4 separate regions of the Mus musculus genome follow, and all the other regions are reported to be linked to region 1. Evidence: microRNA targets listed by miRTarBase, many of them from high-throughput screens and not tested one by one. Region 1 holds a microRNA gene; each other region holds the end of a gene's coding sequence.

Region 1 (7,708 bases):
CGCTAGAGCGCGGTCCGCCTCTCCCTCCCCAGCCCCCTTCTCTATTTAAAGACTCCGCAGACTCCGTCCCACTCATCTGGCGTCCTTTGGGACTTGTGACCCTAGCGAGACGTCATCCCTGGCCCTGCAAAACTGCGCCCAGCCTCTGGAGGAGACCGAGGGTGACCGCGCCCCGTTCTGAACTACAATAAAAAGAAGCGGTTCCCCCTAAGCTTGCTGTCTGTGCTTTCAGGGAGGGGCGGGCCCGGGCTGGAAGGGGCTGAGACCGGCCTCATCGAGGAGTCCGGACCCTCCGACGGAAGTGGAATGAAGCTAGCCGGAAGTGAAGCAACGTCTTCCACCTCGTCTTCCTCCGCGCGGCGAGGCCCCTTGAGTGACTGGGGAGAGGTCGGGTCTCGGCCAATCAGCTGCAGGGAGGGCGGGACTTCCTGCGCGGGAGCCCGAGCGGCCGGCTGCCGGGCTCTCCGTGGTTTCCAGCTCGCGTGGTGGTGGTGGCGGCGGAGCGTCTCCGTGAGGAGGTGCGCGGGGCCATGACGTCAGCGTCCACCAAGGTTCGACCTCCCTCGCGGACTGCGCTCCCTGGCGGCCACGGGAGGGTGGGCCCCCTGCCTGGCTCCCGGCTGGTGCGCGCTGGGCGGGGGGCGGGCGGATCCGAGGCTGGGGTGGGACGGCGCGCTGCCGGCCCCCCGTAATGCTGCTCCGCCCCCAGGTTGGAGAGATCTTCTCCGCGGCCGGCGCCGCCTTCACGAAGCTCGGGGAGTTGACGATGCAGCTGCATCCAGTCTCGGACTCTTCCCCTGCCGGGTACGTGAGACCAGCCTAGGACCTGGACTCCGAGATCAGACGCTTGGACTCAAGTCACAGACACGACCCTCTCTAGAGCAGGGAGATAGAGTAATTCCCCTGTGCCTGGCCCAGCTCAGTGTAGGTGGTAATTGTTGAATTAGTGGATGACAGGTAAAGAGACTACCGAGGCCACAGCCCTCCACTGCAAACCGACAGAATGTCTGCCACCTACCCCAAGCCCTGTGGACTCCCTCAAACTGCTGCCACACATCTTTCAAGGGTTGTGTTTGTAAGGCCCCTACTTGTTTCATTGGTTTCCGTTGGGTTGTTTATGGAAGCTGTTACATGATGAAGTGATGTTTTCAAGTGGCCCTGGATGTAATTTCATGTGGCCAGCGATTTGTCCCCAGGGCTTTTTTTTTTTTAAAAGGAGGTCCTTTTTATGAATCTTTGAAAGGTGCCCCTAGAGACTAGGGGGAAGAGGCTGCTGGCTGTGGACGGAATAGCCTGTGGGCTGGTTCCACACATCCCTCTTCCACTTTTGTTATCACCCTTCTCCCCTTCCGACAGTGCCAAGTGGACGGAGACGGAGATAGAGATGCTGAGGGCTGCTGTGAAGCGCTTTGGGGACGATCTTAATCACATCAGCTGTGTCATCAAGGAACGGACAGTGTGAGGGAGGGTGGCTGGCAGAGAAAGGGGAGGGTGGGCAACTTTCTTCCTCCTGACCCATTGTTCTCTCTCAGAACTCCCAGCTCAGCATCTTTCCTACTTTGTTCCTAGTTTTGTTAGCATTTCCTTGAAGACTGAGAGACTGTCACTGTGGCAGTTGGTCGGAAGATCAGGAAATGCAGTGGTCACTAGGGCCTGCAGAGAACTTTATTTTCATGGTGCCCAGATACTCAGTGGTTGTGTTTGATGATAAGAGTTCCCTAGCTATTTATGTAAATCCTTTGAAACTGGCATGTCCAGGGGATGCATTCTGAACTAATTAGTTGGTCAGGTTCTATGACAGTCTCAGTCTACCTTTATGTCACCACAACATACCTGGTGGTCCTACAAAACCATGCATCTCTCCCAGAGGATCATGAAAAGGGCCTTTCTGGCCACTCAGTTCAGGGACTCCATTCATCTTAATCTATTAGCCCTAAGTGGATGCAAAAGTTCTGAACGTGGGGGGGGGGGGGAGGACCCTTATTACACATGAACTGGGGCCTTGACCTGGATATCTACAAAGGAACTCCTAGAATTCCTTCAGAGTGGCCCATTATTCCCTCCCCTCCCCTCTTCCCTCGGCTTCTCTGATGACACCCTAATCTGCTCTCTCTCATCTTCAGGGCTCAGATAAAGACCACTGTGAAGCGAAAAGTGTATGAAGACTCCGGCATCCCCCTTCCAGCTGAGTCACCCAAGAAAGGACCCAAGAAGATGACGTCCGGTGTCCTCTCACCTCCAAACGCCCCTCCACCCAGCAGCTCCAGTGTCCCTGAAGCTGGGGTTCCTCCCATAAAGAAACAGAAGGCTGGTGAGGGCTGTGGAGTTGCTGCCTAGGGTAGGGGTTAAAGGTCCTATCTGAGATTCAATAAGAGAATTGGGCCTGGGTCAAAGAAGGAGAGACGCTTCTCTTCTGTACGCTGGTGATTCCAGAGTGGGTAGAGGGATGTGTAGAGCATGAAGCTTTGGCAGACTGGGAGGAGGGAAAGACAGCAGTCAGGGAAACCTAGAACTTAGCCTATGCCCCCTCCCAGATGTGACACTCAGTGCTCTGAACGACTCCGACGCCAACAGTGACCTGGTGGATGTCGAAGGGCTAGGAGAAACTCCTCCAGCCAAGAAACTCAACTTTGACCAGGGTAGGAGTCCTCCTCCTCCCACGCTGGCTGGGGGTGGGGAACATACTCACCTGGATGGTAGGGGAGGGTCCCCACAGAAAACCCCTTTCTGGTGCAGGGGCCTCAGAAGGAAGATTCAGTGCAGGGGAATGGGTCAGTTAGTAATACGGCGTTTGAGGAGGTGAGGGTTTTCTTGGAAAAATCCTCCACGCTTGCTCCATCTCTGTCCGTTTTCCTTCCTGTTCCAGACAGCCTGACCCTGGACTCTGGCCTCCTCACCACCTCCGCTGATGCTCCTCTCCTCTCCTGCTGAGCCTTCCACCTCTGACCCTCATTGTTCACCCTGGACCTGTGGATCACCTGGGACTCTAAGCAAGGACTGCCTGAGAGAGGGTCAGAGGGCTGCTGGAGCCATCCACCTCGTTCCTGATAACCATGTGCCCTCGCCCTTTGACTTCTGTGTGATGGACATTTTTATACAGAAAATTATAATTAAAAAAGATTCTCTCAACATGGTGCTGCCAGCTGCCGTTCCCTCTCCTCTGCTTCGCCCTCGGGGCTTGGCCCCTTCTCAGTAGCTCTCACCACCCTGCCTGGAGCAGCACAGCCAATATTGGCAGACTCACTTCCCCATGCCAATATTTCTGTGCTGCTAGAGCCAGGAGAGTTGGGTGTGGGCAACAAAGACTCTACTTTGCTCTGTGGGGCCAGAACTCATTACCAGGGTTCCTGATAACTGGTATCAGACAACCTGGGGGTTGCAGAGGGGCTCTTTCCAGTGTCTCCTGTCCCACCTTGCAAGAACTTCATCACAATACCCTAGACGGTGTGTGTGTGTGTGTGTGTGTGTGTGTGTGTGTGTGTGTGTTGCTTCTCCAGGGTGGCCTCCCAGGGCCAGGCTCATCGGTGCCTCCCATACCCTCGCTCTAACACCACAGTGTGGTTTGGACGTGGCCACAGTGCCGTACAAACCACAGTGTGCTGCTGGGGCGGGGGCAGGACTGGGGTGGGTCGAGAGGAAGACAGCACAGGCAGTGCCGTGAAGACCCCCACCTAGAGTGAGACAGAGGTGTGAATGGCAAACATGGCCCCCCAAAAAAGCTGGGGGGGGGGAACAATCAGGAACCAGCAAAAGTAGTTTAGCAGGCAAAGGATAGGGCCCTGGCAGATGAGTCCAATGTGATAAGCTTGGAGCATTCTTCACCTCTGTAGGAATTCAGCTCTGGGGATCCTTAGGAAACGGGATGACTGGGGAAGACCAACAAACTGCCTCCCACAAAGGCAGGGACCTAAGGTTTCCTGTGTCCATTCCTCCCTCCCTAGGTCAGAACCCAAGAGAAATGCTGGAAGACACAGGGCCAAGGACAGCAGGGTTGGGAGTTGGCAGTCCAGAGGTGGTGGGGCTGGAACACGGTTGAGAGAGGGGGGCCGGAAGTCGCCCTGGGCCCTGGGCCTGCCACAAGATGGAGGCCAAAGGCAGGAAATGGAGGCCAGGGAGAAAGGGATGCAGCAGAGCCCAGGAAGAGGCTCATCTGGACCAGAGGGCAAAGTATTCAACCCCAAGTGCTGCTTCCATTCCCCATGGTCCCCCAAGACCCACGCCCCACCCACACAGCAACACTCATTAGCCCATTCACCAGGCCCAGGCAAGCAGGCCCACCCCTGAGAGCCACGTTTAAGCAAAGACAAACATGCCTTTTCCCCACCCCCAACCCTAGGCCTTCCCATAGCCCTTTCCTCCTGTCCAAGACTTGATTTTAAAAAGAACCTCCCAGAAGGCAAAAGTTTCTTCTGGAAATTTCAAAACAAAACAAAACTCTGTAAACCCTAGATATTAACCTCCCATATCTCATCCCACCTTTTAGCACCACCAGGCTTCCGACACACCCCCCCAAAACTCTTAGCAATCAAAAGATTTAAGATGGTGTGTGAAGCAATCTTTTTAGGCCCCCCTAGTATGCCAGACCCTCTCCAAGACTACCAGATCACCTATATCAAGCCCTGCCAACGCCTCCTGCTCCTTGCACCCTCCTGGACCCCCAGAAACAACTGCTGTCCCCCAGCTCCCATCCCAGCAAAGCTTTTGTGGGGCTAAAAAAAAAAAAAAGCAAACACTGTCCTAATGTCTGTAGGAATATTGGGGGCTCTCAAGTCTCAAGCTTTGGTTTCAGTATGAGGTGCTACGTCTTAGGGGTACAAGAGAAAGCTTCTCTGGTCATCCCCCCAATTTCAAGAGTTACAAGGCGCAACCCCACCCCAGCACGCACCTCCAAACCTCCCCCCCAACCGCCACGTCTCTCCTGAAAACAGGGGACACTTTCCTCCCCACTTACCTCAGCTACTCTCCCCTGAGATCCTGGTCCCCTATTTTGAAAGGAGCAAATTTTGGGGTGCATCCCTCACATTTGGGGTGCAGGAGAAAAGAGACGCCCCAGTCGCATCGCTGGCCTCCTTCCTCTCAGCTGGCTCAAGGACTGGGGAGTGCCCTGGGGTGGGGGACCCCCACAAGAGAGCTCTGGAGGGGTTCCTCCACTCCCAGTCAGAACTGGGGACACCCCCCCAAAACCCGTCCCAGCCCATCCGTCTCCAACTCGGCGGGAGAGGCAGCTGCATTGCCCCAGTCAGATTCCCCCAACACTACATTCCTCACCCCATCTAGAGGGATCCCGGGGCCCCCAAAAAATCCCAAAAAAATCTAGGATGTTGGGAAGATGGTCCTGAACTAGCTACCCAAATTTGGGGTCCTTAGATACCCCCGTTTTTTCAGGAAAATTCTGTCTTTCTCCTGCCTCCCGCCAGCCCTGCTCTGTCCCGATGCCAATTTTGGAAGTCACTCCCTCCTTCCTCCTCCCCGTTTCTCCAGGCCCCCCCGCTTGGGGGCTAGGGTCCAGGACACCTGGTTTCCAGACCGGGGGACACTCTTTAGAAGGCTAGGGGCCAAGAGGTCAAGCTCATTGCCCCTGTCTCAAGGAAGCAGGAAAGCCCGATCCTCCCCTCCCCTCCCCTCCCCCCTGGCTGGTCTCGGTGGTGGTTTAGGAAAGCCTGGAGGACTGGAATCTGCCATTGCTATTGCACAGGCAGTTTTTTTTTCCTTGAGTTGGGGGGGTGGGCGGTGGGAGGGAGAGAGGGGAGGAGAGCCGAAGAGAGCAGGGACCTAGGCGGGAATATCTGGCCTGGCTTACCCTCTAGCCCCTGCTGCCGTTGGAAACCCCTCCCCCGCCTCTCAGTTCACCCTCATTCCCAATCCTCTGTCTGCTTTCTCTTTGGGGCTCTTATCTTAAAATATCAGGGTGCAAGATTCACCCCCCCCTTGTAGACCATCACAGCCTTTCCTTGCCAGTTTCAGCAGCACTGTTAGTCAGAAAGTACCCACTTTAACAAGAGACACCCCATCTCCTCCAAACGGATTTTTTCTTCCATAAGAAATCGGGGTTCAGAGTATGAAGCCACCTTTCCCCCCTTAGCACAACAGGTCATATTCCAGTGAGTCTATGATGGACCACACTGCTTTTTCCAGGCTTCACCCTTCAAATTCTGGCCTTATTTGGGGGTTCACTAATTTTTTTTACAATCTGGGGTGCCAGGGGACTATCAGCAAAAGATAACCTAAGTCAGAAGTGTGCTTTAGAATAGGTGAACCTCCAAATCAATTTCAATTTATGACCCACCTCTCAGCTTCACCAAATGTGGCCAGTGGCAAAACACCCAGAAACTGGATACCCCCCAAACTATCCTTCTACCCTGGGGGGGCTTCTCAATTCTCTCCTGTGGAGGAGTTTCACACATAAACATGTTCACAGGAATATCCAACCCTCAAAATGAGTTTCCACAAGATTCAAATACAAAACTTTGCCCCCCCATCAATCAAGCTCTCAGCTACAGAAAGCCTTCAGATCCTCTCCTAGCTTCTGGCTCTGCCACCAACTCAATGTAACTGGGCTCTCTAAAAAGCCCCAAGTTGACCTTTATGTCCCCAAACAATCTCATCCAAACCTTGAAACAGCACTTGGAAAGAGACTATGTCCCCCAAATTAGTTGCGTACTCATGCTCCCCCAGTAGACCAGAAATTAGAGATGGACAGTCTCACATGGGAGCATCAAATCCCTCCAAACCCCCGAACTAAGACATCTTTAAAACCAGCCCCGCACCTCCAATTTGCTATCAGCTGTCGAGACTAAAAACAGGCCTTATTGACTACAATAACTTCTATGGCAAGTGACACCCCAAAACTCAGAATAGCTAACTCTGTCCTGACATCAAAGCCCTTAATGTTTTCACCTCAAATTTGGAGATGAAAATTGGATAGAGACCAAATAATCTTCACAAAGTAAAGCCACATCGTCATCCAGGGTCCCTAGCTATCCCCAACCCCCAGTTGGTTTGCAGTTTTGTTTGCTACGTTTGCTTAAAAAAAAAAAAAATCAAAACCAATAAAACAAACAAAATGTACTCCACCCCCAAGAACAGAAGGGAGAGGCCTCAGGCCTAGATATGCTGGTCCATTCTTGCACAACTGCTATGCTCCAAACCCCAAACTCAAAGAGCTCCTGCTTTGTACCTGGGTTCAGCTCTGCCCCTCTTCTTCAAAGGAAACTTGTCCTTCTATCCCAAGGCTCCCCAAACAAAATCTAAGGGTGTGGTCCCTGCCTAGCTTCTGAATGAAGTACTTAGCTACCAGGTTCCTCCTGCCCTTTCTCCTCTGTCCTCTCTGTTTACTCCGACCAATGCTCATATTAATGTTCATTGAAAATTCCTGTCTACAAACATCTGGGTAGAAGGGTCTATCAAATTAGAAAACAAAACAACTGTGTTCCCAGGCTCAAGACCCCATCTCATCCTAACCACTATGTTCATTCCAAAGCCTTCCATAAGAGTTCTAGCCTGAATTTCCTGCGGAGACCCTAACTCTTCTGTCTTCGATCTACTGCCCCACAAAGAGACAGAGGTGCAGAGGAAACTATCAGAAAGAGAAGGCAGCTGAAAGTTTCCTGTAGCCTGGACCGAATGCATCCAGCTCACTGGTCTGAGCACATCACCAGCCAGGAGACCTAGGGGCGAAGCGAGGCTGGTGCTCGACCGCCCTCTCGTG
Region 2 (7,708 bases), not on the chromosome of region 1:
CAAACTGTTTGTCAGCCATATCCCATACTACCCAAACCCATCCCCATGTTACTTTTCGTGATTATGACAACATTTTTACCCCTTCATTACCCACTATAGACCTGGCTATTGAGCACACTTATATGATGCCCAAGTCATGATTTTGCTCAATGATTCCAGGAAGTCTATCCATGAGTCTTTGTATGCCTGAGTAATGTAACTCTCTGCAGATGCCCAGTGGGGACAGAGTTAGTGTCTTGCCTCGGCACCCAGGGGCATGTGCGTGGGTGATGGCGAAGCTGCTCTTTCCAGGGAGGTCTGTGACCTGGGCTCTGTAAAGGGAAGGGAACAGTGATAAAGCCCTGTGACATTTACCTGTCACATTATATTATCCTGTGACATTTACCACCTCCTTTCCTAAAAGATGCTTGTGACCACGCTTTCTAGGCCTGCGCGTCAGGAAGTCAGAACAGAACCTTAATTCAGGCCAGCGCCATTTCTAGTTAGGGTTAAAATAGTTTGGATCATTATCTAGGTCACCATATATCCTGTCCGCTCAACTGTGATTTTGTCTTCTTTTAGTTCAGAGTTACTGAGTCTGTACCGTCCAAATACACTTAGCACCTATACATAAACTATAAATAATACTACACCTGGATAAATCATATAGGGCCACCTGCTTACCATTAATAAGTAACAAATGGTACTGTAATGTGCAGTTTCAGTAAATTACCGCCAACCCTCATTGTAACCATAAATTATTGTTGTCACGTACATAAAGACACCAGGGCTCATAGTTGTCATGTAATTTGTCCTTACCTGTCAATTAAGGGCAGGTGCTGAATTTGAAGCCACGTCCGCCTATTTCCAAAGCTCTTTTATGACTCGCTGTTTCCTCCACATTTCTGATCCCAGAATGGTAGTCAGGGGGGAATCTAAATGATACCCTTTCTAATTTTCTGTTTCTCACTCTGGAATACCATTACACAGCGCTTCCATAAGACAGGCCCATCGTAGTTTTTAACCTTATCTTTGAGTCTAATTTATGTAATGGTTTAGAATATTGCTCTTTAATTTACGAACCTCAGCCAAAGTGATGCGTGTCACAAGCCGTGCCGGACGAGCTGCCTGAAAACACATTTTCACAGAACTGTTGTATCACACCACAAAGCGAAGCTTCGGGTGTAGGTGAAGACTTGGTATATCTGATGAGTGTCCTTCAGAATGGCAGACCCTGCCTTGTCACTACACCAAGACTTACACCAGGGGGGCGCCCTGCCCTGTCACTAAGCCGGGACTTCTCCCTGGCTGCACCAGTGCCATTCACATACACACCTTCCATCGGGGGTCTGCTGCCAGGGACAGACACTTCCTCTTGTCAGTGAAGTTTGCAGTAGGGTAAATGAGAAGTCCTTTCTGCCATGAGGTGGGGTTCTCCCTGTGCCGCTCTAAGATTTGGTAAGGAAGGTCATGTTTAAACCGCAGGCATTTACATTCCCGTCTGGTTCTTCCGTAGCATCATTGGACTCCCAGGAGAGGAAGACTGGCCTAGGGACGTGGCCCTTCCCCGGCAGGCTTTTCATTCCAAATCTGCTCAACCCATCGAGAAGTTTGTGACAGATATTGACGAACTAGGCAAAGACCTACTTCTGGTAAGTTCCTGGGATGCCGTCACCTTGTGCCCCAACCATGTGGCAACGACGTGGCGTGGGAGGCTGTATTTGTTTTTGTGGATTCCGTTTCCAGCTGGTGAGTTTTGATTCTGCAATGTCTTCCTAACCCAGCTCTCAACACTTGAATGTGAATTTGGACGAAGCTTTATGAGACGCTAGGTTCCTTGGGCAAAGGCTTCTTGACAAGAAATTGCTTTTCTTCGCTTGAAGTTTCATGCCACTTGAAGCAACGTGCTAGTCGCATCTTTGCAAAATATTTCCCCCCAAAGGAACCAAGTAACCATACTTGTAGTTATTGATTTACTGAATAAGTACCTTGTGTGCTATTCACATATAAGATATCCCATTAAAAACAAGATCCTAGGGCTGGAGAGGTGTCTCCGTTCTCAAGAATATGTATCATTTTTGCAGAGGGCCCAAGTTCAGTTCTCAGCACCTGTACCCAGCAGCTTACAGCAGCCTGGAACTCTAGCTCCAGAGACACTCTTGGCCCCACAGGCGCTTGGGTTCAAACGCACATTCCCACACACAGAGACGCGAATACTTATTCTTAAAATGAAGTTTTTTTTTTTTTAATAAGCACTTTTGTATTTTGAAACTCAAACTCCTCGTTGTTGGTGTTGTGTATAATGTCCTTCCTGCAGACACAGAAGGCCCTCTTCCTTCTGTTCTCAGAGTCAGAGCCCTATGAAGAATAAGTCTGTTATTGATCCTGAATTAGGAGCCCGTACTCTTGATTCAGACCGTGGGTCTATCAAACCTGCATGTGTCTGTGTGTCTCACCCTGCCTGGTGGCATGTTTTTCTCATGGAGGCAAGTAGAACCATGACCAAAGGCCTAGGTCAGTTATGTGGTCAGGGCAGCTTGAAGAAAGGTGAGAATGTTCAACCCTTGAGTAAGTTGTGATACTAGAAGGTAATTTTAAGTCAGGTGTCTGGTAATCACATTAATTGTTTTTACGGAAGCAGCACTTCTTGTGTCGGGGTGTTTTACTTTAGTTCATGTCGTGCTGGTGACTTTTCTCCCCAAATAGAACTGTGGAAAAATTTTAGCCACCTTTTCCAAGACTTCCCCCAAGGTCCAGGGTTGGCCGTGCTATGTTTCACACCAGATGTTCTCTGTATTGCAGAAATGCCTGACGTTTAATCCAGCTAAAAGGATATCCGCCTACGGCGCCCTGAATCACCCGTACTTCCAAGATCTGGAGAGATACAAGGACAACCTGAACTCTCACCTGCCATCCAACCAGAGCACCTCGGAGCTGAACACAGCCTGAGGTTCCACGGGGATGCCCATGAGCTCGTCATCTGAACACATTGGCGGCTGCGAGTCCCCTAAGCAAGCCTCTCAGAGCAGTTGAAGATTGCTGGCTGCCAACCTTCTGGCTGCCAGCTTCTGGGTGGGCTCTGCCTTACCAAGGAAACCACCTAGTTTACTGTTCAGAGATCAATGCAAGGGTGATTGCAGCTTTATGTTCGTTTGTACACTTGTTTGTTTTGTCTGTTTGTTTCAAGAACCTGGAAAACTTCCAGAAGAAGAGAAGCTGCTGACCAATTGTGCTGCCATTTCGTTTTCTAACCTTGAATGCTGCCAGTGTAGGGTGGGAATCCAGGCCCAGCTGAGTTATGATGTAATCCGCCTGCAGCTGCTGGGCCTGCTTTGGTACTTGTGAGTGTGTGTGCATGCGTATGTGTGTGTAAGAGAGAAGAGGAGGGGAGAGAAAGACCCCTGATCTCGTCAAGTGTTACTTTTTTTTTGTAGAAAACAAGAATAATTGAGTTTTAAAGAGTAGAGGTGACTGATAGTAAGAAGGGCTTGTTCAGTGAAAGGTGATTCACAATGGAGTCTTGTTAGGAAGGTTGGACCTAAGTCCTCAGAGTTGCCTTCCTGTCCAAAAGCTTTTGCTAGCAGTAAACAATAAAGGTTTAGATGCCACAAAAAATGGGGGGAACCACAATATTTTTTAAGAGACTTTTTAAGGCATACATCTTCTATTTACTCTTTGGAAAGCTGAACTTAATGTGTCCCAGGCCCTATATATAGTACAGTATGTACTTAATTGTTTCTTTGGGGAAAGATGCTATAAGTATCTTATTACTTGCAATACATTTAAGGAGTGAGTGTACCTCAGATAGGTTTTAAAGATAGAGAGCACCTGTTTTCTGGTGTGAGATGTTATCATTTTCTTCACGTCTCTTGATACCTTGATACCTTGTCACCTTAGGGAATCACTTCCTGCTCTGACTAGAGGCGGGAATACCATCTAGCTGTCTCCACCACCCACCATGGCGCATCTGCCTTGTGCTGCCTTGTGTAGTGCGAAGCTCTCAACCACCAGCACTTCTAATTCATTTTCCTGCCACTGCCTGGCTAACGACAGATGGCCCAGCTGCCCCAATCCCACACCCGCTTGCACGCTTACCGTCTTTCACCGAATGCTTTGGGCGTAGGCTCCCATTCCGAAACCCTAACAGTATCCCCTTGTGCCTTTGTAATACAGTCTTCCCCCTGCCGCAGCTGAGGTCACCTAGGCAGTGAAGAGTGCTTGTTCTGTGTGTGTATAGACTACTACCGACTGTCACTTGGTGTTTCCTATCTTTAAGTGTATGTTGTCAGTGTAATGTCTGAGGAAATGTCTTTTCCTCTCTTCTAGAGATAACTACTTACTCTCTAAAGTGATCTCTCTGTCTGTCCGCAGGATGTGTTTCTGGGTTTTTGTTCTTTTTTTTTTTTTTTTTTTTTTTTTGTCTGAGGCCTCATGTCAGCCCTGCTTTCTGCAGAGCCAGCCTACCCTGGGCATTATAAACAACTGTACCTTACTGTTTTCTTTCAGTCCTTTACATTCTGTGCCACCTTTGCCTTATTATATCCGTGGCTTAGTGCTAAGCTGGCACTACTCCATAGAAGGTGTAGAAGGCAGCTTTCGGGAAGCGTAGCTGAGTTTTGTTTGAATCGTGTTTGAGCACATTTAAGTAAACGCTAGATGATGCTTCACTGTAGAGCTTTGAAAGACTGCCTGATGTTTCACACGGCAGTGTAGGCTCCAGATGGTGTTTGTATGTTATGGACCTTACTGTGTTTCTCGTAGCTGAACAATGCATGTGGTTATTTGTTTGTTTGTTTTTTGGTTTCTCTGTGTAGCCCTGGCTGTCCTGGAACTCACTCTGTAGACCAGGCTGGCCTCGAATTCAGAAATGCGCCTGCCTCTGCCTCCCAAGTGCTGGGATCAAAGGCGTGCGCCACCACGCCCGGCTTTGCATATGGTTATCTGTATGGAGAAGAATTAGATGTCTTTCCTGAGAGCTTTGGAGGTTGGGAATCATCTTCTTCTGTTTATTTTTATTTTTAACATTACATTACATTCTTCTGATTCAGTATCGCAAGAAAGGATTTTTTCTTTTTTCAAAAACAAAACTTTAAGAAGCCAGAGGCTAGGCTGAGAATGTTCTGCGCTCGTCCTCACAGCTCTGCTGCCGACACTGCCAACGCTCGAGACAGTCAGCCTGGAACCTCTGGGACAAGGTCTACTCGAGGTCTCACTTGGACAGCGAGTTCTGCCTTGTCATTGAACAAGGTCCAAAATACAGACATTTTTGCTAGGGCCTAGAAATCGACCATAAAACTCACTGCATTGAGGCCTAATCCATTCTATATTAACATCCATGTGATAAAGTGAAAATAATTTTGAGGGTTTTGCTTTCGCCAAAAAAAAAAAAGAAAGAAAGAAAAAAAAAGAAAGGAAGAAAAAGAAAAAAGAAAGGATTGTTTTCCTTAGCTTTGCTCAAGAAAAATACAGCTATCCTAAACTGGAATCTTCCCGTATTCTTTAGAGTCTTAAGTATAGAGTTTAACTTCACTTTTGTCAGCTGTCTTGAGCTTATTTCTAAGTAGTTTTGTTTTGGCTTTTGGTGAGTGAGGTAGTGGGAGGTTAATTTTGGGGTCTTTTTTTTTTTTGGCTTTGTTTGTGTGTGTGTGTGTGTGTGTGTGTTTATGTGTTTGGCTTTTGGGTTTGGTTGGTTAGTTGTTTAGTTTGTTTTTTTGTTGTTGTTTAATTTGCTTTTTCTAGGCAGGGTTTCTCTATGTGGCCCTGGCTGTCCTAGAACTTGCTCTGTAGACCAGGCTAGCCTCAAACTCAGAGATCCACTTGCCTCTGTCTCGAGTGTGCTTGAACTAAAGGCATGAGCTACCCTCCTCAGCCCACTCCAAACTTTGAGTAATATTTTTAAATCATAGACATGTTGGTATTAGAAACATGGCGTATTGTGGTGGATGGTAGAGAAAGGGCGCCGCAACCTCTCAGGACATCATATGTCTGGCCAGCTCTTCATTCATATAGGTGCTCTCTGGATATGTCTTTACATCAGACTCACACCTCTGAAACCCGGTTTTCACACAAGGAGACTTGCCATTGGGGTCTTTAGTAGCCCAGGGAAACATAGAGTAAACTGAAGAGCTTACTGTGTGCCGCTTATCCTTAGATGGCCTCATCCAGTCACAGGTCTTTGTCAGAATCTAACCATTGATTCACTGAGGAGACCCTACTGCCCTGAGGTTCCACTGAAGCAGCTTTTAGTGAGACTAGGGCAAGAATATACCGAATAGCTTCTGTTCAAGGTTTGGTTCCAGAGACTCTACCATTTACAGGACTGGCTGGAGTTACAACAACCTCTTAAAGAGGGTAGGGCGGGTTCTCCAGTTAGACCCCCTAACCTCACAGGTGAGTAGTCCTAACCTGACAGCCTTAGAAACACAGTTGCCGAGTACCTGAGAGCACCCAGTGGCCCGCCGCCTCCTATTCAGCCCCTCTTTAAAGACGACAGACGGTTAAGCCATGGAGAAGCTGTTCAGGTAGCACGGGGCCATTTCTGCCCCCAGCTTGTCATGTTTTTTCTCTCAGGACCCACTCTCTGACCAGTAGACTTGAATTTAGCCCCAAGTGATTTACTAAACTCAGCTCAGAAGCTCACTTAAAAATAGGACCTCCACATGGTCGTGCTAAGTAAAAATGAAGACCCCAAGTTGCACAGGGTGCTGCTATCTCAAAGACAATACTTTCCTTTGAATAGAAAGCTGTGCCGTCCACCCTGCAATGGGTGCTAGCCAACTTGCTTGAGAAAGTCAGGAGCAAGCATTTTGAGTTTTAAAGAATGTCCTGAACTTGTCTTTTAAGTAAACATAGCTGCTTTATTAAAAGCTGTGACTACTAAAGCCAGTCACAGCCATCGTCACTGTGGGAGTTAAATCATGTCAACTTTCAAACATCACAGTTGTTTCAATCTTCTGTCCAAAGAACTCCTCTTCTGGAGAAAACCTGATTTTGGTTTTGGCTTTTTGTCTTGTCTTGTTTTGTTTTTCCTGAGATGGGGTCTCTCTGTGAAGCCCTGGCTATCCTGGAACTCAGTGTGTAGACCAGGCTGGCCTTGAACTCATGTAGATCTGCCTGCTAAAACTAAAGACATGCACCACCATGACAGCTGACTATTTTTTATGATGAGCACAGAAGTGGCTCACATTTTCTTAAAGCACACTTTTGTCACATAGTAGAGTCTAGGAAAGAATAACATTGAAAATCCCCATCCCAGTGTGACACTTGTGTAAGCACATATGGATAGCCATTGGAAGAATACATGCTTGCTTGTAACATGAAATTAAAGACATTGTATAATTTCTTAATCTTTAAAAATTACCAAAAAAGTGGCAACAGTATGTTTAAGGTTATTTTAATTTTTACATAAATTGTTAACCATATTTGTTTGCCTTTAAGTATATTCTAAGAATTATAATTAAGTATAATTATAAGTCATCCCGCACATTCAGCACTTATGGACTAGGTATGTCAAAATACACAAATTCTGTATTTCTTGTTTCATAGGAAGAAAGCAGCCATCTGAAGCTCTACTCATATATATGCCTAAGAATATCTATACAAAATTAAAGTTTAAAAGGCCTTTGCCTCTCGTGCAGCTGAGAATAGACAACTTATAAGCCTTATCCAAAAACCATGATAAAGGGATCATGTGCATCCTTACAAAAACCCCTTATCCTGTGCATACTTA
Region 3 (7,708 bases), not on the chromosome of region 1:
CAGAAAAAGAAGAGTAATTTAATAAATAATAAATGAGATTGCATAGGCTTTGGGAACCACAAGCTACAGGAGGCTAGTATATAGACGACTTTCCTCAGTCTTTTCTCAAGTCACAGGTCTCATTATAAATAACTTGCTTTGACAGCTATTTAAGAAAAAAGCAATGTAGCTGGGTCAGCTATTTTTAAATAAAAGTTTTTCAATATTTCATACAGGTATTTAATCAGGAAGGAGAATTCATGTTGAAGTTTGGCTCCAATGGAGAAGGAAATGGGCAGTTTAATGCACCAACAGGTGTGGCCGTGGACTCAAATGGGAACATCATTGTGGCTGACTGGGGGAACAGCAGGATCCAGGTACACCAGCTCTTCTCAGGAGCGTGTCAGCAGGGGGGATTGAAGGTGCCCATCCTAGAACCCAGGATGCTTCTCCTTCTGGTTAAGTCATTAAACCGTAGATAACCTCACATGAAGGACCAAACACCCAAACAGGAAAGGTACCTTTTTTGGTTTGAATATTGTTCTCTTCAGACCCCTAAAGGGCCCATGGCTGGGATTCAACGTAGCCGTTGAACAAAAAGGTACTACGTGGGTGTTTTACTCATCTCAAAGTGAAGAATCAAGTTTTCTTAATTGTGAGTACGGGCAAATTATGATTGTCACTAAGAAAAACCACACACACACACACACACACACACACACACACACACACACAGAGAGAGAGAGACACGCACACTCGTGTCTCATTACAGTTGTCCCAGACACTCCACACTGTTGTTTATGTTCATTGTGACCATGACATCTTTTCATTTCATGTGCCAGTTAGCAAACATCCAAAACCTGATATGGTGACACTTGCCCATACCCCCAGTACATGGGGAAGTAGAAAAAGAAAGATAAGTAATTCAGGTTGTCTTCATCTATGTAGAAAGTTCAAGTCCAGCTTGACTGACTTCAAGCCTTATAGATGGTTATACTACACATATTTAATTTTGTGTATTTTTTCATTTCTTTAAGACATAGTCTATATAGCCCAAGTTGACTATGAACTCCCTGTATAATCAAGAAAATAATTGAGACTATCAGTGTAATGATTTTACTTTCCACATATATATTTCTCTTATGTATATATTTCCCATGTATATAAGATCTATCATCTATATTATATGCTATACAATTATATATAATATAAGTATATACTATATATCTTAATTACTCTGACTTCTGTATTCATAGAGACGTTCTGGGATGAAGATACGTGTAGTAGCTCAGTTGGTATACTGCTCCTCTAGTATGTATAAGGTTCTGAGTTCAATCCCCAGTACCGTGTAAGCTGGGCATGGTTGCACAGACATGTGATCCCAGCACTTGGGAAGTAGAGACAGAAAGATCAACAGCCATTTAGGGTTGACTACATAACAAGTTTGGGGCTAGCCTGACTATGTGAGACCCTGTCTCAAAAGATCTCTACCCATAGTCTCACTGTAGTCGGTAGGAGGGTACTTTAGAAGGCAGGAGGCAGGCGAGCTCCAAAGGCCCGTGGATGCTGTTTATATTGTGTGGCCTCATGGCATCCACCTACTTACATTATTTCTCAAACCCCACGTGGGCTAAACAAAATGGTTAGAAGGAACCCAGCCTGGGAACTTGTAAAGGAGAAAGTGTTATGAGTCAGGGTTTGTGTCTCTGAATTTCATCACAGCAGAATCACATGGACCATAAAAGAAGCAGTTGCCTATCCAGATGGGCACATTGAACTATAGACTTCGACAAGGAAAAATGAAATCTGTTTTGTCTTGGCACAGCCATAGTAAGATAAGACACGGCAGCCAACAAGTTCTACGTCAGTGATCTAGTCATGGAGAGAGCAGGAGAGGAAACAAAACAGGTGGAAATGGAGACAAGGGTGCTGTGCTAGGGTCCTCACTGGGACAGAACAGACTGAATGCATGTCACAAAACAGCTATTAGATTGGCTTCCATGACTCAGGCTGGTGAGTCCAACCATCGTCCTCTGTATGCTGAAAAGGCCGAGACACTGGGAGCTTCTCAGCCCACCATGCCTCTGCCTCAGCAGTCCCCACATGGCAGTTTAAGGGCTAGACTCTAGGCCCTGAGCAGTAGTTCTCAACCTTCCTAATGCTGGGACCCTTTAAGACGGTTCCTCATGTTGCAGTGACCCCAGCTATAAAATTATTATTGTTGCCATTTCACAACTGTAGCTTTGCTATTGTAACTGCTTGTAATATACTTTTGAAGATAGGGGTTTGCCAAAGGGGTTGAGAATCACTGCCCTAGAGGATTTCGAGAGAACCTCAGGTCTTCAGCCTGTCCTGGAAGGTTACAGAAGCTGGGTTCCAGTGTCAGCAAATGAGGATAGCAGTGGTGGCAGATGCACCAACAAGGCAGATGCACCCACCAGCCGGGACAGAAAGCAGTAGGCCAAAAGCAGCAACTTCTCTCCCAGATCTCCTTAGGCCTGGGCCACAACAAGGAGGTTCTGCCCACACCGAGGGAGAGTCACCTCTTTCCCCTCCAGGTCATGTTTTTAGGAGACATACTTATGGATGTTTCTAGAACCCATCTCATCATTGTTTCTAGAACCAACTAGATCAACAACCAAGGTTAACCATCAATACTCTGTGTGCACAGCAGCAGCCTGAGCAAGCTCAGAAGGATCCTGACATGCGTTCCTTATTTTAAATGCATGTCCTTCTGCATATGTAACTTCCCTGATGCTCTGGTCTTATGTCTATGCAGGTTTTTGATGGGAGTGGATCATTTTTGTCCTATATCAACACATCTGCTGACCCGCTCTATGGCCCCCAGGGCCTGGCTCTCACTTCAGATGGCCATGTTGTGGTTGCAGACTCCGGAAACCACTGTTTCAAGGTCTACCGGTACTTACAGTAACAGTGGACAGCTCTGTACTGAGGTCTTGCACTAGAAACTGGAATGGAGTTCTCAAGGTGGGACCAGACTACGATAGGACTTTTCATACTAGGAAGAATCTTCGGTGAACTTCCCAAGGTTATTTCTGAATGTAACCATTTCTTTAAAAACTGTCTATCCAATTTCCGTAATTCACTTTTAGGATTTAAAAAGAATCTTCTTCTACTGAATCTATACAAACTGCGAAGTTTTACACCCATGAACTATGGCTCATAGGACAGGGATTTCTGTAGTTAAACTAATTTTGCAAATCAGACGTTAAAAAGAATTAGCGTATCTGTTGACTGGTGAATGAATGATAGCCTTTGCATAGAGCTTCCAAGAACAAAACTTGTAGTTGCCTATTTTATTTAACTTCGATCACAAGACCCAAGGGACCTTCTAACCTCACTTTTACAGTAGGTGTTATTATTCTGGTGACATGTTTTTGCTTATCAACAACCACATATAAATTACCTTAGAAAAATCCAAGGCTGTCTTGCAAGATCCTTTCAGTTCAACTCAGGCCCTGAGTTGAGCCCATCAGAATCAATGCAAATTCCCCAAATTTCCTGGGTTTGATCAAAGATCGTTTCCATGTGTTCTCTTCACCTTCTCATTTCTGCTCACCTTGCATCAGAAAATGAAATATATTTTCAGGAAAACCTGAAATTCCCGATGCTTTGGAAGGCACGTAGCAAAAGCAAGGGGACTCTTTGGTTACTAGCTTCAGATCAACACACTGGAATGGAATCAAGAGAAGTCACATTCATGTGCCATGCGTTCATGTGTCTTTCCTCTTCCACATCACGAAAGCGAAAGCTTTACCTCCTGCAAAACGTCAGCACATGTAGTCAGACGCCAGTGTCCTAGGACAGAGAGCCATAAGCAGCCCTTTGGAGGATGGATGGTGTCAACCAAAGGCATGTGATTGATTCATGATTTCCCCTTAGAGAGCAAGTGTTACCAAAGTTCTGTTGAGCATTACAGGTAAGGGCATGTTGTGGTTATTTATCATTGTCTAATGAGTAGTAGAGGCATTAAGGGGGCAAGTATACATGGTTAGGGTAAGATAGAATGTATTATACATATATATATATATATAAATATATAGCTGAGTCCTTGGTGTGCGGGAATAGGCAGCACTCTGAAAGACAGAAGCATTGTCCAGCCATCCTTCAGTACATTCCCTGCCTGTTGCAGTCTGAAGCCGTCCCTGGAGAGTGAGCCCCACAGCAGCTTTCTGTGCTGCCATTTCCTGGCATGATGGTGATGTCTGGCTTCCAGTCAAATTACCTTCTTTGTGTTCAAGAAAAAAAAGAAAGAAAGGAAGAAAAAAAGGAAGAAGGGGAGGAAGAAAGAAAGAAAGAAAGAAAGAAAGAAAGAAAGAAAGAAAGAAAGAAAGAAAGAGAAAGAGAGAAAGAAAGAAAGAAGTCTTTATAACATTGAGTTTGAGTTACCTTTCATTTAGGTATAAATGCATTTGAGAAACATTACCTGTCATGGATACTGTAAACTAAGATGTGTTCTCTTTCCACTGATTTTCTACTCAGTTCTACCAAATAGGAATGTTGTGCTTTGCATGTTTGATGATGACGCTGTGATGTCATTCACCGAAAGCACCTTAGATATCTACTGTAAAAGACATCTTCCCTTAGATACAAATGATGATGTTTATGGCTTATTATCTTAAAATTCAAATGTTCTTGACATAAATTTTTTAAAAAAATTTAGAAGGGAAATCTGGCTACTTCCAGTGGTCTATTTAATTCATTATGCCCAAATCAACATCTGGGTGGAAAAACTTTATTTTCAGAAGATTTACATTGGTATTTAGCTTATTATTATTTTAGTTCTGTGGGGTTTTAAAATACACAAGCCTGTCTTTACTAGACATAAAATTTAATACCAATTTTAGAACGATAAGGTAAGACTGCTTCTGAATATCATGAAATAAGTCTTTGATATTTTGGTTGTAATTTTTTTTTCTTGGTGCTGGGGATGGTACTCACGGCCTCAGAGATATTCAGCAAGAGCCCTACAGTCGGGCAGAGCCTGCAGCCCAACCCTCAGTATGAATGTCAGTGTTTCTCCCTCCAGGCTTCCGACCAGGGGCCAGGAATGCATCTAGGCACTGGGACCAGAGGGATGCTTAGAAGAGAAAGGCATCTCTGCCCTTGTACAGCTTATACTCTGGAAAGGAGACATCGTTGTGCTTTAATAGTCTGCCTGCAGGACTGTTTCTGTTTCTGGGCTACTTAAAAGAAAGCTTTTTTTAAAAAAAAATGAGTAAATTAATTGTAGAAATTAAAAATGTAAAAGTAGAAATTTTGTTTTTGTTTTTTGTTTTCCAAGACGGGGTTTCTCAATGTAGCCCTGGCTGTCTTGGAACTCACTCTGTAGACCAGGTTGGCCTCGAATGCAGAAATCCACCTGCCTCTGACTCCCAAGTGCTGGGATTAATGGCGTGTGCCACCACTGCCCGGCCAGAAAACATTTTTTAAAGAGGCTGCCATGGGCTGTTTTTGGTTGGTTGGTTGGTTCTTTGTTTTGTGGTGCTGGAGATGGAATCAGGGCTCTGCAACTGAGCCACACCTCCACGTTGCAACTCTTATTTTGAAAATGAATTTACCAAATGAGTTCTCATTTTGTACAATGTTGAGATATTTGTGAACTGAGAAATTAATTCGTAAATGAATCAGCTGCACATATAAAATATCATGTCAGGCTTGATAGCTCAATAAGAAATAACACAAATTTTTTTTTCTTAACACACAAATATTGGTATGAACTGGAATGAAAGGGTAATTTAATTTAGACCTGTTCCACCATTGGCTACTAAAGCACCTGCTGTGGGCACTGCAAGAAACACTACATTCTACACCTGGGTACCTGTGTGTGTTCACTGTATTTCTTTGTGGTAAGCGAATTGGGGGTTGGGGGTGGAGTGCTGCTACTAAGATATAAATAGACAAGGTCTAAATGGAATTTTGTCTCATTTGGTCAGAATGGTTTCTGGTAAACTGAGAAGGATTATTACAATAAGTGGCTTTTTTTGTTCTAGGCTACTGTTACTGTCCAATTGATCTTCGTTGAGTGTATAGAACCCGTCACACATTCATGATACGTAGCACTGAGAAAGTAAGCGTTCAGCTTTCCCTTGGGCACTAAGGACAAGCAGTTAGGTTTTATAGGTTAACGATAGTGTGTCTTCTCCCGCCATAAACCTCCCTTGCTGGACACAGGGTGGTAGGGAGTCACTTTGACTATCCAGAAACACACAATTAGAAAGTTGTTATGACTGTTTGCTGGTGTTTAAATGATGTGTAAGATTTTGATGAAACTTTAGTCTCTGTAACCAAATAAGCCCCCGAGTTTCCTAAACTTGACAAAATTTGAGGCAATAAGCACCCCTGGTCCATGCAGCTGTTGCACATCTGCTCCCACTACATGTACAGGGTATGTATGTCCTCACGGGGAATGAACTGGAATAGCGGGACGTAACCAGGTATATGGAGCCTCGCTCTAAAGGGTTAGCATAAATGCTTTGGTAATACCTACGGAGGAAATTGGAGAGATCAGATCAACATCAGGCCATCTGTAGGTCACATCAAATGGGAAAAGTCTCTCTATGCATTTGAACTGTAGATCACCCTCTCTGTTCACCAGCTTCTGAACAGGGAAGAGGAATTTCTGTTTTTGGTGAATGCTTTTAAAACAAGACCTTTTTCCAAGTAGGATAGCATTGAAGCTGCCTGATGCAAACCTTTCTAATTTCCCTTAAAATCAAAAGTCCTAATACTGTTACTTTATGTAAATGTTGCAGGGTGTTTAAAATTTTACAATTATTTTAATATTTTTGATAACTAGGAATCTAGTATTGCCATAAAGGAAACTAAGTGCCCATTAAATATTTGTTTGGTATAAATAAATACTTTTTTTTTTGGTTTTGTTTCAAATGACAGTAAGCTACAAATCATGACGCTAATCTTCAAAAACACTTTCTAATGAACTGTGTGGTAGTTGATTGTGTGGTCTGTTTGTGGAGAATGTATGGATGCGATTCATTAGTATTCTAGAAGAGATTAATAATCAGCTATGTTGTTCCAATGAATGTACAGCACTTCCATTAACTTTTGAAAGCAACACAGCCTTAACCTCATGCTTTTGCTTTATAACGTGGGACGTTGTGCTATCAACACAGTACCCTCTGCTAACGTTCTTTCTCACCATTCCTGACTGCAGCCATCGGAGGCTGCCTACGAGAATGGGGGTTGTTTGTTCCCTTTTCGTTTCTTTGAAGATTTTGTACATTCCACCTTGACACATCTGTCTCATACATTTTGTGTACAGACCACTGGTCTTGTGTTTTCTGCCATTGATAATGATATAGCCTCCTCATATGTTCTTTTATGAATTGAAATGCTGACTGCCTGTTTAAATAGAAGAACGGACGCCGTGCATCAGTGTGTTTGTATGTTCGTAGCTACATCCGTACCACAGTATTTTGGATGCTTTAGTCTATAAAACTTTAAATTAATTCTGTCTTGAAACACAGGAGAAACAAGACTCGAGTGTATATCGTTACCATGCACAAAAGTCTCAGATCATTATAATAAAGCTTGTTCTCTCCACCTGCAGACTGAGTGTTTATTCAACAGATTGCCCCCTGTGTGAAGGGGAGTGGGAACTATCGCGCTAGAACATATGGAAGATTGCAATGCCTTGACGCAACTGTTTGGAGTGGAGAAGAGAACCTGAGTGCCATTTCTGTGGGTT
Region 4 (7,708 bases), not on the chromosome of region 1:
GGCTGAGGCTTCTGCAGCTCTGCCCTGTAGAAGATCTGGCATATATGGCCCTTAGGCCTGGCCGTGCTGCCTGTTCAGACGCTGGGACTCCCAGGAATCTGGCTGGGCACTTAGCAGCTTCCTGTCCTCAGGAGATGTGCCCTGCTAGGCTGGTGCCAAGGCTTTCAGGAGCTACGCTGCACAGGCCATGGAATCTGGACCCGTTTATGGCTCCTGTGGCCCAAGGCCTCCTCTGCTCTTTAAATGCAAGTGGGTGACACTGTTGTCCTGAACCCTATGCTGTCTCCTGGGCCCTGAACAAGGCAACCACCCAATTCTATGCAGCACCCCCAAATTTCTCTTTTCCTTTCTACTCAGTCCTGTGCCTGAACCTTAGGTAAGGTGACAGCCAAGCAAGCAAGAGCCTCGTGCAGCAAATGGCACAGCAACGCTGAGACCTGCTGTGTAGCTGCAAAGCCATGTTGTTAGCCTCCTGTGGGGACCCTCCACTCCCAGGGAAGCTACCAGTCACAGTCGATGTCCCCACGAGGACTGCAGTCTTCCAACTCTTCCCCAGCATGCTAGGGTTCATGCAGAAAAATATCACCCCAAAGGAGGTGGCCATAAAGATTTGTGGTAACCTTGCTTCTAGAACTTTCTTAATTTACAGCTTCCTCCAGCTGTTTTTTTTTTTTTTCTCCCTCTTCCCCAACACACATCAGTTAAGTTCTTAACACAGTCAAGGGCTTGAAGAATGCTAAAAATTTAATGTATGTTAAAAAGGGTATTAAATTCTAAACTAAAATTTGCATGGAAATATGACATTAAAATACTTTTAGCTTTCAGGAAGCTGGGGGCTGTACCACAGACGGATTTTATCTGTTTAAAAAGAATTAGCTTTCCAGTATTTCCCACGGATCCCAGCAGTTGTGTGTAGATGCAAGGCCTGCCTGGGGCTGCTCAGCTGATGTGGTGGAAGAGAGCAGGGCCAGCTGCTGGCTGGGGCTCTTGGAGGCAAAGCTCAGACAGGGTCTGCCCTGCACTGAGGAGGCCCTGCTGGTGGGACGGGGTGGCCAGTGTGTTCTGTGCGTGGTTGGGCTGCACAGTTACCTCTTACCTGTGCCCCAATGCACACGCCAGGCCCGTGCACATCACTGTGTTCATTTCACAGACGGTGGGACGTGGCTATGCTTGTGCAGACAAGGGGTTCAGAGAGCTGAGTCATGGGTGTGGGCTCAGCACAGCACAGGGAGGTAGATGTTAATTTCCTCTGTGGGTTCCTCAGTTGGCTCCCTGGGCTACAGCGGGGGTGGGGGTGGGGAAGGGGGCAAGCTTAGCCTTTTCTTTTCCTCCTTTGCCTGAACTCCACTACAAGTTAGCCTCTCGCATCCTCCACCTTACAGGCAACTGGATCCCTGGCTGTAGGGTCCTGTGTGCTGCGTTGCAGGAGCCATCTCCTGGTAACCTTGAGGAGGCTGGGTGGGGTGCACAAGAGAGCAGAACTGGCCTGGATCCAGGAGAGGCGGCCAGCAGGGGATGTTGGGCGGAAATGACCACTCACGGCCACCGCACCTTAGGGAGGTTACTCATTGGCAGTTAAAAATCTATTGTGACTTGTCAGAAAAATGAATAAATGGGCACATTAACTTCTGATTCCAGACCTCAGCATGTGTTTGTCTCATCAGGAGGTGAGTGAGCGGCAGCCACTGCGATGGGAGCCCTCCTGCCCGTCACACTGAGAGCACTGTTGGCATGGGGGGGGGGTCCACAAGAAACAGCGCTCCCCAGAGGGGCTCTGCAGCTCTCCGAGGAGTGTGGTGGAGACAGATATTCGTGCTTTGGGCCTCCCAGCTGCCCACTCCCTGCCTGCCAGTGGGCTGGGGGCAGATGGGTGGATAGACAGGACGTGTGTTTGGTCACTTGGGAAGAGGGATTCTCTACTGAGGAATTGCTCTCCTCAGTCCAGATTACAGGCAAGCTTGGGGACATCACTGATTGATAATTGTGAAAGGCACCAGGCCACTGAGGGTGGTGCCATTCCTGGGTAGGTGGTCCTGGGTGCCAGTCTGGCCTCTGCATCAGCTCCTGCCTCCAGGTTATCTCACAACGCACTGTGGCCTAGAACTCACAGATGAACATACCCTTTCTTTCCTCAAGCTGCTTTTGGTCAGTGTTTATCACACCAACAGAAGGAAAGCAGGCCAGGACCACGAGTGGCTTTCCTTTCCTCATCTGTAAAGTGTGGGAGGGCTTGGCTTGGGGTGGCCAAGATTTGTGAAATAGAAATGTGAGCCTACAGCCTGTGAAATTCAGACCAGGGTGGGCACTGGTAGACATCACCAAGGCAGGGTGATGAGATGGCTCCCAGGGTAAAGGCACTTTCTGCCAAGCCTCATGACCTGAGTTTGAGCATAGGACTCATGGCTGAAGGAGAACAAACTCCAAATTGTTCTCTGACCTCCACATGTGTGTACCTGCCACCCATAGAACAAAATGTGATAAAAATAGTCTCAAAAATTCCAAAGGTGGTTAATGCCCACCCTGTGGTGTGACTCTTGTGCATGCCATGATTTGTGCGGTACTTGGATGGGTGGTTTAAAAATGTTTTTCCTTGGGACTGGAGAGGTGGCTCAATGGTTAAGAGCACTGACTGCTCTTCTAGAAGTCCTGAGTTCAATTCCCAGCAACCACATGGTGGCTCACAACCATCTGTAGTGGGATCTGATGCCCTCTTCAGAGGGTGTGTCTGAAGACTGCATCACAATGTACTCACATATATAAAATAAATACATCTTAAAAAAATGTTTTCCCTTGATGTGTATGGTGTTGCGTCTACATGGATGTCTGAGCATCACAGGTGTGCCTGATATCCAAAGAGATCAGAAGGGGGCACAAGATCCCCTGAAACTGGAGTCATCGACAATTGTGAGCTACCATATGAGTGCTGAGAACAGAACCTTGGGTCCTCTGGAAGAGTGATCAATCCTCTTAACTATTGAACCATCTCTCCATCTCCCTTTCTGTTTTGAGACAGGGTCTCAATACGTAGCCTTGGCTGGCCTGGAATTCTCTCTGTAGACCAGGCTAACCTTGAACTCCCCAGGGATCCACCCGCTCCTGCCTCCTAAGTGATGGAATTAAAGGTGACTTGGTCCACTCTTAATAGCGAACATATTGAACCCTCACAAGCACCCTAGAAAGGAACCAGTTTCACCTTCATTTTACAAAAGGGGAAACTGAGGGTCAATGGAGTCAAGTAATTCACATAAAGGCCCAGCAACCAGGAACAGCTGGGATTGTAGTGCACTCTGGTGAGGGACTGCATAACTTTATTGGTCCTTACTCCCATGTGTTACAGCCCTGGATCTAAGGAGATGGGGAGCCCCTGAAGGCAGCTAGAAGGGATATGAGCGGTGGGGCTGCCTACCTACCAGCCTTTGACTCCATGAGGATAATAATAAGCTGGGAAGGACACATCAGCAGAGTATCGCCACATTGTTGGCTAACCATGCCCAGTTGGAGGGCTTACAGTCAGCAGGTAGGTGATAGGTAGTTAGGATGACTACGTTGGCCAATAGGGACACCATGGGGCTTGACAGCACTGTAGCCAGAGGTGCTGGCTGAGGCTCAGAGATTAGGCTAGACAGTACTGACACCCCTGAGATCAGATGTCCTAGGGAAGCGTCTTCATGGCAAATGCAACCAACCAGCAGGCTGGCTCACCACTGCCCAAGGAGTGAGGGCCACCGCCGCCCACCTATCACAGCCGTGGACTGTGACACCAGGCAACTCAAACCCCTGAGAACCTAACCAGCTGAGAGCCATGTGCCAGCAACTGTGGAGAGCAGAGCCAGAGATCCCAGCGTCCCGGGAGTAAAGGACGACTAGACGTGGCTTGTGTACAGCTTAGCATGGCTGGGCATTTTCAAGTGCCAGGGTGTCACCCCAGGGATCTGCTATGACATCACCATATCAGCAGTGTGTGCTGCATTATCAAATGCCAGGGTGTCACCCCCGGGGACTTGCTGTGACATCACCATCTCAGCACCGTGTGTGCAAGGATTTAGGAATTCAAAGCAATATACAAAAGAGGGTATTTATGACTTTTATTTTAGTATTTTAATATTGAATATGTGACAAGATTTAATGACCAAATTAGTCATTTACAATTTCAAAGATATCTAAATATAAAATTGCTAAAAATTCAAATACAGAGCAAGCTACAAATAATATTTCTTTTGGGGGGAGATAGGAATGGAAGACATTAGAAAAGGGTGCTCCTGTTGGCTGAACAGATCAGAATGAGAGAGGCATTCATTCAGTCGACCCCTTTGCAAAGAAGCACACTTGACTCTGAGATGCTTAGACACAATGATTTAAAAAATGTCCTAAACACAGGTCGTATAAGATATCGGCTGTGGCCCTGGCCCAAGGATGCTGCCACAGGCGGGACCATGGTGAGGTCTGCAGAGGCATCTGGTGTAGACAGAGGTGTGGTGTGGTGTCAGGGTGCTGGGTACCTTGCCTTTTCTGCCCAGGGCTTGCTCTCCTTCTCCCTGATTCAGTATAGCAGCAGCAGCAGCAGCAGCAGCAGCAGCAGCAGCAGCAGCAGCAGCAGCAGCAGCAGCAGCAGCAGCAGCAGCAGCGTCTGGCTCCACAGCAGGCACCGGTAAGAGGATTGGAGATAGGTCAGAGAGGCAGGCTGACCATATCATACTTGCTATGAGGAGATGAGAGAAGACCCTGGCTGGGAACTCAGCACCACTTGGAGACACTGTCACACTATATTACCAGCACCTGTCTCTCAGATCACAGGCGCTGACATGTTGAGAAGGCCTTAGAAGGCTACGCACGCACGCACGCACGCACGCACGCACCCACGCATGCACTTACGCTGGGCACATGCTAGGTCCTCAATTCCTAACTTTAGTAAGATGCTATTCTCAAAGCAAATCACTTATTTAAACAAATGGCACAGTTAAACTACTGGCTAAGCCCTAAACATTGCTTCTGAGAGCTCCAACCACAGCTTTTGTAATCTGCCTGTTCAATATGGGAACAGATTTTAAGGAAGATAATATAGTCAATCCTCTACCCCAAAGAATGGTCCATCATACCAACCACGATAAAGAGTATACCTGTTTATTAAAAGGAAAGAAAGAGAAATGTACACTTTTGTTCTTTGTTTGCTTTAAGAAATTTGATCAAGTTGCAAGGAGATGTCTGGCATGGCTATGTACAGTCTTGCTGGGACTGCCAGGCAGGACACACGGCTGAGCAGCACTCAGCCCCTCCAGGAGGTGGCCTGGCTCCTGGGCATTGCTACTTAGAACCATTGCCAAGTTTCAGTCCAATCGCACCCCTACCTCTAAACCTTCCCCTAGAGCCCAGCAGCCTGTGCCTGCGGGTCTCGGCACTACAGGATGCTGGTGGACTCCGGTCCACCTGGCCTTGCAGGCCACCTGGGCTGTGGCACCAGACTAGAGGCCAGTGTCACTGCTGCCCTGATTTCTTCTCCTTCTGGAAGCTGAAGCTTGTTCGCCTGTTCAGTTTTCTTTGTTTTTGAGCAAGATAATCAGCTCGGGCAGTGCTCGCTCGTGATTCCAGGATGTAGTTAACCTAGAAAGCAAGAGGACACGGCATCACTTGGCAGCACCAGCTGTTCCCCCAGGGCAGAGCTTGGGGTGGAAGGGAGGCCATGTTTGGGCAAGGGATCCTGGGAGCAGCTGCTCTGACACGGTGCAGTCTGGCAGGCCAGGAGGAAGCCCTCGGTTCATATAGATGGAGGCCCAGTGCAGGCTTCTCAGTTGCTGAGCAGTGGGGCTGCTGACCCACCCCTAGGCTTGTGCTCTTCGGTGTCTCAGAGGGCTGCCTACTCTCAGACATGTCCAGCCAGCTCCCGAGGAAAACACGCGAGGCAGCACATCCTCTGCCTCCTGATAGCCTGGCATGTGTCCTCTATTGTCCGCTGCACCTACCAGCCAGGACCAAGTACGCAAAGTGAGGCTCAGAGGACTGCAAGGGCTGAGGCCACTGGGGTCAGGGTTGACTTCAGTTGGCTGTGTGTGTCTTTTCTGGGCCACCTGTGGACCTTCAGACATGGCTTTCCTGCCTGGCTTTTTGTGAAAACACAATTCTTTCACTCTCACACGTTCCGAAGCCTCACCAGAAAGCCCAGCCTTGGTTTGGAGAAGGCAGCTAGAGGCTCTTGAGCAGGGCAGTTGCAGACTGAGGCTCTGACAATGTCCCTCCAAACTTTCAACAGTAGGAGGTACAGGCAGGCATGCGGATACAGAAGGCCCGCCTCACCCGGCCGCAGCCTTGCCAACTTACCAGCTGAGAGTCATAAATCAGGATGTAGGTTGGCAAGGGTGCTTTGGGCCGGCGTGGACTTGGTGGGGATGGCAGGAGGCGTCCTCATGCTTGGTAAATGCCACGTACAGTGCTTGCACTCAGCTGACCTGGCGTTTGTAGTGTATTTTTGGCACTTTTAATTTGACAAAAGCATTTTAAAATGGTCCTTAACAAGCCAACTATTTCCTAAATTTATTATCTTCAGTACTTTGTGATAATCACATAGATAATTTTAATGCAAGATTAATGTAATAATCAAAAGATAAAAACGCCCTTTGGTCTGCCATTAGCTGGTTAATATGCTGTGGCTTAAAACGTGCCCAATTTTATGCACTATAGAGGGTTTTACTTTCGATGCACTTTACAGCTTAAGGCATAAAAATATAGGGAGTTTTCATGGTCAATAAAGCCACAGCCTCCATCACTCAATCACAGAAGAACCCGGTGTGAAGAGCCCAACAGTTCCTCAGAGATTCATCTCAGGCCAGTGGAAGGAGGGCCTGTGTGCGCCAGCATATGTGGAAGGTGGACGGCAGCCGTAAGCAGCACGGGCTCCATTGAGGCTCTGCATCCCCTGAGACCTGGGGCCTCCATCTCCTCACCTCAAAAATGGGGACAATGATGTCCTTATGCTGCAGGCCAGTGGGGAGGGTTAGATGGGATACAGGGTGTGAGACATGCCCTTACTGAGGCCCCCTTCATCATCCTACAGAAAGCCTCTGTCTGTGATGGCTAAGCTGCAACAGTCTTTGGGTCTTAATTTCTCTATTTATTTTTGATCTAAACTCTCATTTTTACTTGAGTCTGAGGTGGATCCTACAGAGCCTCAACTTAACATTTCTGTCAAATTCTGGAGCTGGGCTGGGGTCTTGGAAGCTGAGCTCTGGCACAAAGCTGACACTGGCCTGGCTGAGGCACGGAGGGAATGTTAGAAAGCTGACGTACAACCTTCTCAAAGAGAGGAAAGTGCACTTCAGCCTTTGGTCAGGACACTAACCATTAGCTGTGAGTCAGGCAGGCCGGGGACGGAGGCCTCTGAGGTGCATGATGGCGTGAGATTTCGCCCAACACCCTGAGATGTTTCCCTGAGACAGACATTTCAGGGGAAGAGGCAGGCCTAGAGGTGGGGGCCGGGGGCGGGGGGGAGTTGCAAAAAGCATGTGCTCTGAGGGAGCATTTGGTCCTGGAATGATTTCTCTGCACTTGATCTTCCGTCTCATACTCAAGTCATAAACCTGTGTTTCTGTCATCAATCTGCTGTTGTGAAAATTATTCTGATGTCAAACACAAGATTATAATTTTACTAGAATCCTTCTCACATCTTGAATATTTTAATGCTGGCTATAAAAATAAGTCCAGGAGGGGGAGACTGGGA

What was found. Region 1 holds the annotated microRNA mmu-miR-195a-5p (UAGCAGCACAGAAAUAUUGGC, at 3,253-3,273, opposite strand). A microRNA usually pairs through its seed, bases 2 to 8, with sites in the 3' UTR of a target mRNA and lowers its output. Matches are read on the target gene's strand: a 7mer-m8 pairs with bases 2 to 8, a 7mer-A1 pairs with bases 2 to 7 and ends in A, and an 8mer does both.
Region 2: miRTarBase lists Cdk6 as a target of mmu-miR-195a-5p. Seed matches in the 3' UTR shown: 8mer at 6,682-6,689.
Region 3: miRTarBase lists Trim2 as a target of mmu-miR-195a-5p. Seed matches in the 3' UTR shown: 8mer at 5,878-5,885.
Region 4: the mRNA of Mapkap1 is a reported target of mmu-miR-195a-5p. Seed matches in the 3' UTR shown: 7mer-m8 at 5,256-5,262, 7mer-m8 at 4,617-4,623, 7mer-m8 at 4,614-4,620, 7mer-m8 at 4,611-4,617, 7mer-m8 at 4,608-4,614, 7mer-m8 at 4,605-4,611 and 19 more.

What each region holds. Positions count from the first base shown.
Region 1 is chr11:70,230,627-70,238,334 of GRCm38, reverse strand. It overlaps Mir195a (microRNA 195a), which reads right to left and starts at 3,293; the gene lies at 3,200-3,293. It overlaps 0610010K14Rik (RIKEN cDNA 0610010K14 gene), which reads left to right and starts at 421. Exons shown (of 6, transcript NM_145758.1): 1 at 421-551; 2 at 710-804; 3 at 1,357-1,458; 4 at 2,124-2,311; 5 at 2,535-2,639; 6 at 2,871-3,131. The coding sequence starts at 531. The coding sequence ends at 2,875. Mir497b (microRNA 497b) reads left to right here and starts at 3,519; the gene lies at 3,519-3,643. It overlaps Mir497 (microRNA 497), which reads right to left and starts at 3,618; the gene lies at 3,535-3,618. It also overlaps Rnasek.
Region 2 is chr5:3,517,864-3,525,571 of GRCm38, forward strand. Cdk6 (cyclin-dependent kinase 6) reads left to right here. Exons shown (of 8, transcript NM_009873.3): 7 at 1,496-1,631; 8 at 2,782-7,708. The coding sequence ends at 2,928. Among named protein-coding and RNA genes, the nearest start is that of Fam133b, 22 kb to the right of the region's middle.
Region 3 is chr3:84,160,300-84,168,007 of GRCm38, reverse strand. It overlaps Trim2 (tripartite motif-containing 2), which reads left to right. Exons shown (of 12, transcript NM_001271727.1): 11 at 216-356; 12 at 2,759-7,569. The coding sequence ends at 2,911. Among named protein-coding and RNA genes, the nearest start is that of Mnd1, 8.4 kb to the right of the region's middle.
Region 4 is chr2:34,621,313-34,629,020 of GRCm38, reverse strand. It overlaps Mapkap1 (mitogen-activated protein kinase associated protein 1), which reads right to left. Exons shown (of 12, transcript NM_177345.4): 12 at 4,063-5,598. The coding sequence ends at 5,473. Among named protein-coding and RNA genes, the nearest start is that of Gm34372, 14 kb to the left of the region's middle.